Linked DNA regions of Mus musculus: all the other regions are reported to be linked to region 3. Evidence: microRNA targets listed by miRTarBase, many of them from high-throughput screens and not tested one by one. Region 3 holds a microRNA gene; each other region holds the end of a gene's coding sequence.

Evidence for each region. The annotated mature microRNA mmu-miR-340-5p reads UUAUAAAGCAAUGAGACUGAUU and lies in region 3 at 1,377-1,398, shown strand. An mRNA with a match to its seed (bases 2 to 7 or 8) in the 3' UTR can be bound and repressed. Matches are read on the target gene's strand: a 7mer-m8 pairs with bases 2 to 8, a 7mer-A1 pairs with bases 2 to 7 and ends in A, and an 8mer does both.
Region 1: the mRNA of Akt3 is a reported target of mmu-miR-340-5p. Seed matches in the 3' UTR shown: 7mer-m8 at 1,044-1,050.
Region 2: miRTarBase lists Ephb4 as a target of mmu-miR-340-5p. Seed matches in the 3' UTR shown: 7mer-A1 at 1,262-1,268.
Region 4: miRTarBase lists Cxadr as a target of mmu-miR-340-5p. Seed matches in the 3' UTR shown: 7mer-A1 at 612-618, 7mer-m8 at 2,002-2,008, 7mer-A1 at 2,546-2,552 and 7mer-A1 at 2,588-2,594.

Annotation. Positions count from the first base shown.
Region 1 is chr1:177,022,518-177,025,623 of GRCm38, reverse strand. Akt3 (thymoma viral proto-oncogene 3) reads left to right here. Exons shown (of 13, transcript NM_011785.4): 13 at 175-3,106. The coding sequence ends at 260. Among named protein-coding and RNA genes, the nearest start is that of Gm15423, 83 kb to the right of the region's middle.
Region 2 is chr5:137,373,227-137,376,322 of GRCm38, forward strand. It overlaps Ephb4 (Eph receptor B4), which reads left to right. Exons shown (of 17, transcript NM_010144.6): 17 at 286-1,296. The coding sequence ends at 415. Among named protein-coding and RNA genes, the nearest start is that of Ephb4, 25 kb to the left of the region's middle.
Region 3 is chr11:50,068,344-50,071,343 of GRCm38, forward strand. It overlaps Mir340 (microRNA 340), which reads left to right and starts at 1,359; the gene lies at 1,359-1,456. It overlaps Rnf130 (ring finger protein 130), which reads left to right. Exons shown (of 9, transcript NM_021540.4): 3 at 2,828-3,000.
Region 4 is chr16:78,336,072-78,339,177 of GRCm38, forward strand. Cxadr (coxsackie virus and adenovirus receptor) reads left to right here. Exons shown (of 7, transcript NM_001025192.3): 7 at 117-3,106. The coding sequence ends at 381. Among named protein-coding and RNA genes, the nearest start is that of Cxadr, 36 kb to the left of the region's middle.

The DNA of each region.
Region 1 (3,106 bases), not on the chromosome of region 3:
TGATTTCTTAGAGATGGTTTTATAATATTCTTTGTTTGTAGACAGACCATGTGTATATAGAAATCACAGTCCTTTAAACTCAGTTTTACTGAGAAGTTAACGAGATGTACTGTTTCTGAGTGTAGGCAGAGTAACAGTAGAAACAGAAATGACAGCGCTGTTTGCTGCCCACAGATGACGACGACGGCATGGACGGCATGGACAACGAGCGGCGGCCACACTTCCCTCAGTTCTCCTACTCTGCAAGCGGACGGGAATAAGTTCCTTTCAGTCTGTTTCTACACTGTCATCTTAGACTTTGCCTGAGACTGATTCCTGGACATCTCTACCAGTCCTCGCTCTTACAGTTAGCAGGGGCACCTTCTGACATCCCTGACCAGCCAAGGGTCTTCACCCTCACCACCTTTCACTCACATGAAACCATATACACAGACACTCCAGTTTTGTTTTTGCATGAAATTGTATCTCAGTCTAAGGTCTCATGCTGTTGCTGCTACTGTCTTACTATTATAGCAACCTTCAGAAGTAATTTCACAATCTTTGGGAGTCATGAGCCCATTGTTCATTTGTGCATCAAGTGTCATCTTTTGGTTTTTGGTTTTCCCTAGCAGTGAAGGCTAAATGAGATACACTGATTCTAGGTACATTGTTAACTTTCTAGGAGATAAATCAAGAACTAATTAGACTAAGAAGATTTAGTTTATATTTCTGAACAAGCAATTGTTGAAGGGTGGTGGTGTGTGTATGTAAGAGTTTAGCAGTGTATGTCTGACCAGCACATGAAGTGTGTATCACTGACATTTGGCTGGAAAATCTTAGGAAACATTGAGAGGACTGAAGGGCCAATGAGATACACATTTTTTTTTTTTAAATCCTGCTGGCTATTGTGGAGGAAGCCCAGTGCCACCCATGGATGCCCAGGTTTCAAGGGCAAATGGACATTGTTCAACCAAGTACTGACGGTGCAGAGTCCCCTAGAGAGTCTTAGGATCTACTTTGTACCAGAGAGTATTTTCCCCTGGGCTTGGCAACCTTTTTCCCTTCTTTATATTTATCACCTCTGATGGCTGAAGAATGTAGACAGTATAATGATCCTGCTGTCGCCAAAATCTATACACCAAGGTGAACAGGTGTTTGCCTTACCAGTTTTGGAGTTTTTACTTTCAGTTATAGGTAAATTAGCTTTTTCTCAGATGTTAAAACCTTGAATGTCCTTTATGGTTTTGTTTATATTACAGTAGTATTTATTTTTTAGTGGTAAGAATTGTGTTGTCATGTTAGCAAGCGCAGCTCCAATTCACAGATCATTGCCTGCGTTTTCTTTTGACCCATGTGCAAGGAATGTACACACCCATTAGAATCATGCACTTTTTCTCCTATGTTAAAAACAATGGTAAGGCTCTGGGACTGTATCTGTTGGTTAGAATCTGGCTAGAATCTCTGGGAGAAGAGATGCTGTGATTTAACCCCTTGGAGCTGAAATGAGAGCATCCCCAACTACCCAGTGCCAAGGGATGGATGTGAGAGGATAGTCTGGCAGAAAGTAATGGAGAAAGCTGAGACCCAAATGATGATGAGAAATGAACTCTACTCGGCAAAATGAACACATCACAAGTATTCACACAATAGGAAGTAAAGGATAAGAAGCTGATGTGTTTATTCTTATCAAGGTACATTCATTACTGAATCAAGCCATCAGGGAAAACAACAAAACAAAACACCTCTAGCTTTTATTTTTCTGTACATATTCATGTCTCCCAACCCAAACATTTCTCACTGAGAGGGGACATGTATGCAAACCTCATCTTTCTCCTTCATTAATGATGATCTTCAGATTAACCCTTTGGTGCTAGGAGCTGACACTTTCCAAAGCAGACTATGACGTCCAAGGATCAAAGCCTCTCTTGCAGCAAGCAAGAGCAACTGCTGCTCCAAGGCGTGATCATGGAAGTGGAAGACCACAGTGTGACACAGTGGTACTGCATTGTCTTTTTCAGTAGGAAGTCATGTTCTCATGCAAGTGTCTTGGCCTCTAGGCTCAGACTTAGAGAAGCAGAGCCGCTGCTGGCAGTGGCTGGCCGCTGGGACTGCTGGGGTGTAAAGGGCATTTTCCTAAGGCAGCTAAGACAGACTCAGACATAGATTTTTGTCCTAATTTTTCATGTTTCTACCTGGGTGAGTTTACCCTCAGTGGGAAGTAGGAAGTTAAACAGGTGTATTCTTACATCTGCTGTCTTCTGTTTTCCTACATAGAAGTATGTTGAATGTTGCACATTGACAAGGAAGTAGATTAGATGGTAAGTCCTTTTAAGTTACCCTGCATCCATTCTGTAAGAAAGGAGGAGGAGAGGAAGAAAAGCAAGCTGAGCCTGGCCGATGTTCAGAACATTTACTCCCTCAGAGGGAGCAGACACTGTACACTAAGCACACAGCTTCTTTTGTTTTGTCTCTCCTTCCAAGTCTTAAGGTAATTTCATGACCTTGGCCAAGGATACTTTGTGAAGATTAATGAGGGGACATTGACAATGCCTCAGGCTGGCCACTCCTCACACTGGCCCTTGGTCCCCAGCCATTCAAGGGGTTACTCATCCCATCCCTGACTACCTGAGTGTCACTACAGGTGGGTTCTTGGCTTTGAGTTCAAGAATTCTTTCCTTACACCCTCCACCAGATGTCAGTGGAAAGGCAGAAGTAGAACCGAGGTGTGGGAGGAGATTCTAAAAGCTTGTGTTGCCCAGGCCTCTAGCTTAGGGTTCTGGCAATTGAGACGGCCTGAAACCTGACAGCATCATGTCCGGGCAGCTCTGGCTTTGTGAGTCCAGCTCCTACCAACTCCACCTTGACCTCTTGTCTCCATGCAGGGCTGTCTGGGAGGAAACTGGCCACTTCTGCTCAGACTGCTGCCAGCGCTCTCACAGCTTTGCTCTCTACACTAATGACATAGATTATTCCAGTATTGTTCCCATTTCCCACCTGACCTCCAGCTTCTCGGAGCTGACTTCTTGCAGGGGCCACATGCTTCTTTCCCTCACTAACTGCAGGGTCTCCACCACACCTCAGTGTACACACTTTGCTGCTACCGTCTGTACTGTCTACATCACGGTTC
Region 2 (3,096 bases), not on the chromosome of region 3:
CTGGCCAGGCAGGTCTCCTGGTCCCTCCTCAGTATCTTCACTGAGCCAAAGTGCTCCCTAATTTAAGGCCTAGTTCTTTACCTGTGTGGTCCCTGTCTGTATTTCTTTCTCCTCCAAGGCAACCTCTGCAGCTTCTTCCCCCTAAAATCTCTCTGAGGACTCTCTCTTTCCTTCTTCTACGGAGGCCGCTCAGTAAATGTTTGGTGATTACTCTTGCCTTTCTCCTCCTGTGGCCTCCCTGCTTGGCTGGTCCCGGGACTCCTCCAACCTTCTGTTTTTCCACAGGGACCTTCTCCGAATTGGAGTCACTCTGGCAGGACACCAGAAGAAAATCTTGGCCAGTGTGCAGCATATGAAGTCCCAAGCTAAGCCAGGAGCCCCTGGTGGGACAGGGGGACCAGCCCAGCAGTTCTGACCTCCAAGGACTCACCACCGTGGCAGATTCTTCTTTCCGGGGGGCAGAGTTGGGTGGGGACTCACAAGATGAGCCCCTCCCCCTCGTCACAGCCTTCCCATTGGATTGCACTTTGAACAGAGGGGGTCAGAGACCCAGGATTTGGGGAACCGTGCCATATGGGATCATACATGTGCCCTCCAGGCGGGGAACCCCAAACTCAGAGTGAGTCTTTCCCTCAAGACTGGGCAAAGAAACATCCCTACGTCTCTAACCTCCCATCTTCCCAGAGGGCTCTCTCCCCAAGCGCCTTCCACCTCAACGGGCATGTCCCTGCAGACCAAAGAGAAAGGGTGACCAGCCTGCCAACTTGGGAGTGGAAAATGCCGTCCCAGGAGGCAGGAAGGGGCTGTCAGGACCCGGTGATGTAATCATTGGGTTTTGATGTCCTGACTTGCTGTCACCACCAAAGGCAATCATTTTTCCCTTGTAAATGCCCCTCCCCTCATCTGCCTTCATATTGAAGGTTCTGAAGTTTTACTGTTTTTTATTTTGTTAATTTTTTCCTCCTTCCCCCCTCCCTCCCCTTCTTGTCCAGATTTTGTGTGTTAAAGGGCACCTGGTTCCACTATCTCCTGTTGGGAACAAGGACCCATCGATATGTTCTAGAACAGTGCCTTGGAAATGCCACAGCCTTAGACAGTTCCTTCTTCCTTTCCTCCCCCCAAGTGCCCCCAAGCTGTGTTGTGTGGAGGGAAGGGGGGTGATGTTGTAAAAGGGACAGGAGGTTGGTGGTGGTCAACAGAGGCAGACAACGGTGCTTGGAAGGGGGTTCTTAAATTATATTTAAAAAGAAACTTTTTTTTTTTTATAAATAAAAAAAAAAGGGGGATATGTCTCAGTCCAGAGGGTGACTGGGAGCTGGGGTTGACCAGATTTCTGAGACTAGGGGACCCCTAGGAGTGTGGATTTGGAGGGTCAGGTCAGGTGGTTGGGATTATGGTGTGAGGAGGGGCTGGGTGTTGGTTCTCAGCCCCAAGGTGTTTTGTTTGGGTTGGTGGGAGGTGAGTCACTGGCAGCTGGTGCTAACTGCTCCAGCTGCCCCTGCCAAGAGCCTCCGGCACCTCCGGGGTGGGGCAGACACCTTCTGCCCCTCCTCTGTCTCCTTAGCTCTGGCAGGGGGTTGTATAAGAGAAGCCAAGCGTGTAGCCCATAGTCCTGCCCTAGAACTGCTTTAAAAGGATAAGGGGGCACGGGTGACTGTGGGTGGGGGGTCCCAGTTAGGTGCCCACAAACTTAGGCTGGATGTCCATAGCTGGGGTTGGTTTGGTGGTAATGGGAGAGCCAGCATTGGCTGTGAGGGGAGGGGAAGATGGGGAGTGGCTGAAAGGGGGCCCTCACATCTGTGTACTTATGCCAGGTAGCTCTCAGGACAATTCCCCCATTCAAGATGCTGCCCAGGCAGGTTTTCCTGGCCTCCTGGGAAGGGGAGGGGGAGCCGCTCCAATGAGTCTGCTGCTAACTTCTCCCAGACAAGGAAAAGGAGGATAGGGTCCATACTCCATTCCAGCCTCTCCACTTCCCCCACTGTTTTCTCGGCCCCCTCTCTGCTCCTGGGTATGCCTTCCCATTGGGACACCTGTAAGGGCCAGTTAGTGCAGGCTAGCCTGATTGAGCTGCAGTGGATGTGAGGGGTGCAGAACCTCACACACTGGCCCCAAGGCAGTGTTGCTATCATTTCCCCTGCACGAATGTGTGTGTGTGCGCACGCGAATGTGCATGCTCATGCATGAACATTAAGTGAGAAAGACTGATTCTCTGCAGGTCCTCTCATTCCCCTAAAACTGGCCATGTGGGCTAGCCTGGTCAGCCACATGGCCTAGGAATTGTTTCTTCCCTCCACAGTTCTAGAAGGGTAAGCCCATACTACCATTCCCACCGGCCCCTCCTCTGCTGCAAACAGCGGAGCTTCGAGCTTGCTTGCTGACTGAACTAGCTGCCAGAACCCATACCCCTTCTTGTATTTTGTAAACCAGGGCTTGCTAATAACCCAGGCCAGCCTTGGTACTCACTATCCTCCTGCCTCAGCCTCTGGAATTCTGGGATTATGGCATGAATCACACTAAGTCCTTTGTCTCCTCTCCCTGGGTGACATTTAATATCTCTGGAGGGTGGGAGGGGCTCATTACTACCAGGAAGGGGAGTGTCCCAGGGGACACTAATCCAGCCAACTGCCTTTCGCTGCCAAACAGACATCCTGGCTAGATACAGTGACCTCCACAGAGAGCTGCTACGGGAAAGAAAGATGAAGGTCACAGCATCCAAGCAGTACAAAGATGGAGGCCAGGGGGAGAAATGGGGCTCTAGGCAGGAGGTTAACCTGCTGAGGGGCACTGTGCCTTCTGTCCTAGTGAGGGAAACCAGGGTCCTGCAGAGCATGTCCCACCCCTGTCCTGGGCCCTTTCCATAATATTGAGTTTGGCTGACTTCAGGAAAGGTCTCCAAAGGTATAGTTGTCACACAGATTAATAATATCTCCCTGGCCTGTGTCCTCCCTGCCTCAAAGCACTCTGGCCAAGTCTTGGTTTCTTGAGGTCTTCACAGTCTGATCCATTATACACCTTGGCCTCCTTTGGCTGAACCAGGTGGTCACTTCTACCTGGTTGTCAGAATGGCTCCTAAAGCCAGTAACTCCACCCTCG
Region 3 (3,000 bases):
GAAAGTTTAAAGATTCCCAAAATTTACTGCTGTTCTCTCAGCTTAGTGCTTATGGTTCAAGATGTGAGACTGGAGAGATGACTCAGAGGTTTCCAGGGCATTCTTCTGCTCATGGAGAGAACCTGAGTTCAATTCCCAGCACCCACAACAGGTCTCTCACAACTGCCCGTATCCCCCCTTCCAGGGGGTCTGTGACTCCTGGTCTCCACAGGCAACTATAACTTGCATGCACAAAGCTACACACATAAACACATAATTGAAATTAACAGTGTTTTTAAAAAGGTGTGAGTTCTTGGCATCCAGTTCCTACCTACAGTTTGCTGCCATTCTTCCCCACCATGATGGAACTATAAGCCAAACAAGCCCCTCCTTGTATACGTTATGTTGGCTATGATGTTTAACCACAGCAGTAGAAAAGGAACACATAGCTGCATGATTGTTGAACTCCAAAGCCATGTCTTGGTGTTTCAGAACACAGGCATAGGGGTGATCTGGTCACATTCTTTGTATCTGTTTAATGTTTCCATTACTTCAGTCTAATTAACCCCTCTCTCCTACCAGCTACTGCTACTCTAATCCTAGTTTTATCCTGAGGGTTAAGTTTCCTCTGTTGTCATCATCCCTCCTGAATCTGCACCAACTCTCCCAAGAGTTTTTTGTTTTGTTTTTAAGGTTTATTTACTTTTTTATTGTGTGTGTGTGTGTGTGTGTGTGTGTGTGTATACCTGCATGAGTCTATGTGCACCATGTGTACAGAGCCCTCGAAGGCCAGAAGAGAGTGTCTGTTCCCTCTAGAATTGGAGTTACAGTAGTTATGAGCTGCCATATTGATGCTGGGAACCAAACCTCGTCCTCTGCAAGATCAACCAGTGCTCTTAGCCATCTCTTTAGTCCCATCCCCATTTGTAAATGTCTGAGCCATCTTGTTAGGCTCTTTGAACCCAGCCCAGCTCTAGATGTTGGGGAGAAAGAAACTTTTTTCCTAGGAGGGTTTGTAGTTTGCTTCATCACCTTCTGTAAGAGATCACTGCCTTCACTAATATCAGATGTGCTGCTGTACTTTTTTATTTGATCATTTTCAGTCTCCTTTGGCAACATTGCCCAGTCTCCTCTTTTTGCTAGGATGATAAAGCTACAGTGAGATCTATTCACTCTTGTCCTCCTAACAGTGAATATTGACAAGTGTTGAACTAATTAAATTTTTCTTTCCCAAACAGCTTCCTGTTGAGATTAGTTGACGCGCCCATTTAGTGTTCGGTTAAGGAAATTACTGGATTGGTTGCCTTGGCTACCTGTGCAGCTCTCCCCACTTCCAGCTTGAGTCTTCAAGAGGGAGCCTCAGAACTGATTTCTAAAACCAATTGTACTTGGTGTGATTATAAAGCAATGAGACTGATTGTCATATGTCGTTTGTGGGATCCGTCTCAGTTACTTTATAGCCATACCTGGTATCTTAACACCACAGATCATGCCTGTTGATCAACATTGTAAAAGCACAAACTTAAGGTTTCTAAATGGAAATTTAAACTGGTTTAGCATTCTTTTATGATTCTTTTTAACTCACTCACCAGAGGCAGATGTTAACTTAATAATGCTAGTTTTAATTTTGTTGTCTCCTTTTTGTTTATAGATTTTTTAAGCAAAAATAAACTGGTAAACTACTACTCTAATAAAGTGAATAAACCGTTTTGAATACAGTATTATGCAAATATATATTCCATTGAGCTATATTTTTTTCAAAACTTCTGTTACTGAGTTTCTGTTGTGTCTCATCTTGACTGCTAAAGGTAACAAGAAATCAAAACAAGTGTTTCTAATATTTGTTGACAGAGCCTTCAAAAGGTCAGGTCTGGGGTCTCTGCTTGCTGTTTTGAGAGGGTATTTTGTGTTTGGATGCACAATCCTCCTTCATACTCACAAAAGTGACCTTGGTGAGTAGCTGCTCACTCTGACTTAAAACAGGCCCTTGAAGCCATGTGAGAAAAGGACTTGAAAACACAACTGAACCATCCTTGTAATTAACTTATAAAAGTTGTGCCTGTGGGCAGAACTCTGAACAGCTTTTAGGAACTGAAGGTTTTAGGTATCATTATGGGTAGTAGTCCAGAAAGTTGAAACTTGGGCCTGCCTAGAGGATTTGAGTGCGCTGGGCATGGTTAAACAAGGTGGAAAACTAACATAAAACTCAAGTCTGAGGCTAGCCGAGGCAATGTGAGATGCTGGCTCCAAACTGGGTGGGAAAATTGTTGCGTTTGAGCTCCAGAAGTGCCCTGGAAGGAGCTTTACTGTAGACAGAAGACCAAAGTTAGTTTCAAAGGTTGTTGGTAAAAGATGTTGCCGTTCGGCACTTGTCACTCCATAGCCAAGTGTGTGCCCTAAGAAGTACCCTTCTTTCTGTTTCTTAGAGCAGTCCTTGCTCAGCAGTGCGTGTGAGGATGAGTAGTGCAAGGACCACCTGTTCAGACTGTAAATGACAGTGCTTCTCTGTCAGAACTTTCCAGATTGATTGCTATAGAAAGGTTTTCTACTGAAGACTTAACCTGATTTAGTCACAGGTGGCTGCTTTCACAGTGCTTCTAATGCACCGGTAAGGCAGTTTGTGCATTGTTAACACCACAGTTGCTTTATGCGTTACCTGTTTGGAGCACTGTACATGTTCTCATGCCTGTCAGTTTACACAGCTGCAGCCTCATGTCAGTTGAACTGGAATCTATAAACCTTAGTGAAAATTATGGTAATTTCTCTATGGAGCATATGTGTATATTTATTTGATGTGTCTATGAATTTCAGATGTCACTTTAGTCTGTGTATTTGTTTTACATTACAGGCACGGGAGATATTATTGCTGTCATGATAACAGAATTGAGGGGTAAGGATATTTTGAGTTATCTGGAGAAAAACATCTCTGTACAAATGACAATAGCTGTTGGAACTCGAATGCCGCCAAAGAACTTCAGCCGTGGCTCTCTAGTCTTCGTGTCAATCTCCTTTATTGTTTTG
Region 4 (3,106 bases), not on the chromosome of region 3:
CACAGTTAATGCTGTGACGCCTTCCTCCGCAGCGTTTGTACTTTTGTATTTATCCATAATTTAAGTTTTTAGAAACTCAGTTATCTTTAGCATGTGCTGGGGATTTTGTTTTCCAGGGAAGATGTGCCTCCTCCAAAGAGTCGGACATCCACTGCCAGGAGCTATATTGGCAGCAACCATTCCTCCCTGGGATCCATGTCCCCCTCTAACATGGAGGGGTATTCCAAGACGCAGTATAACCAAGTCCCCAGTGAAGACTTTGAACGTGCGCCTCAGAGCCCGACTCTGGCACCCGCTAAGGTAGCTGCCCCTAATCTCAGTCGAATGGGAGCGGTTCCTGTGATGATTCCTGCACAGAGCAAGGACGGGTCTATAGTATAGAACTCCGCACCTCTCTGTTCTGCTGTCCGTGGCTCGTTTCTTCTCTTGACATATCAACATTTATTCTATTCTAAATTTTGTTAACAGTAGCCCATATATATAATATATATGTGTGTGTATGTGTATATATACACATGTGTACACATATACGTATATGTACACATGTGTATATATGCATAATATATATGCATATATACGCACTTATATATGCATATATATATATGAAGAAGTTTATAAGAATCATACTCCATAAGATTTTTTTGGTTATTGTGAAACAATAAAGGCTTAAGAGTAATAGCATTGACCATCTGGAAAATTTGGGGTTTCTTACCAAGTTGATTTTAAGGCCCTTATCTTATATCTGAAGAAAGATATAGCACTTTGAATATGATGTCATGGGTGAAGAAATTTGTGAGTTTACACACATCCCAAGTTGATTCTTGAATCATCTGAAAATGATACTTCGTAGTTTCTACCATTATTTTCAGGATATCTGTCTCATTTATTGATGAACATCAGTATCTCTCAAATTGAAAAACAAATCCATGGAAAAACTGCTTAATGTATGAATTTGTTTTTATAGTCTGAGAATTCTAAGTGTATTTGGTTACCTGTAAAAGTAGGAGACATGACTGTTTTAGAAATGACTAGTTTTCTTTCTAAGTCATTCCTAAACATCTATGACACGATTTCTTTCCTGTCTTTTTTTCTTTTGTTGCTGTTTGGAGATAGGGCCTCAGTGTGTTCGTTGCCTAGGCTGGCCTCAAATCCTGATCCTTCTGCTCCCTGAATGCTGGGCTCTCAAGGCTGTATGGCTGTAGAACAGTTTCCTAAGCATTTAACCGGTACACTACAGAGGTAGCAGGAAGCAGGAAGCTTTAGTGCACTACAAAAGAAGCGTCCGCTACACAGAGCTGAAACCCTTGATGCTGCATGGGTCGGGGTAGGGGGAGGATCGATGAGGACAGTGTCTGTGCCTCGCTCGGGGCCTGTGGACTGCTGCAATCCTGAGCAGGCAGGGTGAGGGTGGCAGATTTATGGGTCTGTAGCTAAACACTGCCCTTCTACTGTAAGTGATGGTTTTGCAATTGGAAAGGAAGGAACAGAGGGAGGGAAGGGAGAGAGGGACAGAAGGAACGAAAGGAAGGAAGAAAGGAAAGAAAACTGTTAATTCACTTATCTGGATGAGAATTCTCAAATTACTGATTTTTAAATGTGTGTTTTTGTTTTGTGGCAGACCGTACTGCACATTTTATGTTGTAATCTAGGCTTTTGAGTTGTAGTACGGTTCCTGGAGGCTATTTTTTTCCTCTAAGAGTCAGTGAACAAAGAGATTTGAGGCAAGTTAAGTGTCTTCCCTGGTCCTGAATTCCAGACTTGAGCAATGTGCTTGCTGGCCCGTGGCCGCACCTGCCTCTCTCTAGCTGTCAGAAATCAAGTCTGAGTCTTAGTTTTGTGAAAGTGACTTACTCTTAAAAGAAATTTTAAAAGGAGTAAAGGGAATACTCCTACCTGCCAAATGTATTAAATATAGTTTTCGTAGGAAAAAAAAAGTGAATTTATTGTATATCCCTTAAGATTGTGAGGGAGTGTGTGTAGCGTGTATTGAGCCAGCATTTCCTTTATAGTAGATAAGGTCTGTAATAAAAGATTTCATTAACTGCAAAACCTTTCCCCTAGGGAATTGGTCCCTGCTAATCTCTTCAGGTGCTGTGCTGGTAAATGCTACATTATAAATTAATGTTGGCATGCATTTACGACTAAGCAGAATAATGTGTATACTTTTAAATGGTGAATTTAAACTGAATGTCCATGTAATGGATTCGTGTACAGTTTTACATATTTGGAAGCATTTTTTTTAAACTAGGTTTAAACCTCACGTAAAATCACTTTTTATATTTGTGTTGTCTTCATCTGTGCCTTTTTAGGTAAATTTAATTTCTACAATGACTTTCTGGTGCCTATGAGCTAGCTATCACCTACCTTGAAGGTGCTTAGAGGTGAAGGTACTGTTTTCAAAAGCACATCACTGTGGCTTTCTACCCTTAGAGTCCCCCTCTCGCCTTCTCTCCTCTGCTTTTCTTGATGTCACTTAAATAATACCACTGTTTATTAGGATTTAAAAGAAAGTCACACCCTCAGTACGCTTTGACCGTGCTTCTAGTTTATAACCATAGCCATGTTTGACTTTCAGATGTTTGGCATTTTTATAAGATATTACAAGAATAAACTGGAATGCAGCTTGTAATGGTTTCGAGAATGGTAATGAAGATTATGCTAGGTAGAAAACACTACAAAAGCAGATGTGTGGAATCTTTTCCTTTTCCTAGACTTTGTATTTATTTAAAGGCAAACAAAACCTAGAGTATCCCGCTATTTTTAGTCTAGATCTGTAGCAACTATAATCTGAAAGAGAAACTTGTTTAAAAAAAAAACAAACACTGTGAACCCCAACAGGCCTGGAGGATCAAGAATCAGAGACATAGTTGATTTTTTAGGCTTTGGCCTGCAGCGCTTCTCATTGTTAGCCTCAGTTTCCCCCAAAGGTCAGACAAGTACTAGCAATTTCCCAGACAACCTCACTGATTTTAGTCAACCAAGGAGCAAGTACTTGCTCTAGAATCAATGTTGGTAATGGTCAACAGCTCATCGGCCGTGCTGGCGCATCTTAACGTAGAGCCAGTGTGAGTTCAGGGCCAGCACTGTCTTCCCAGCAGACCTTTCT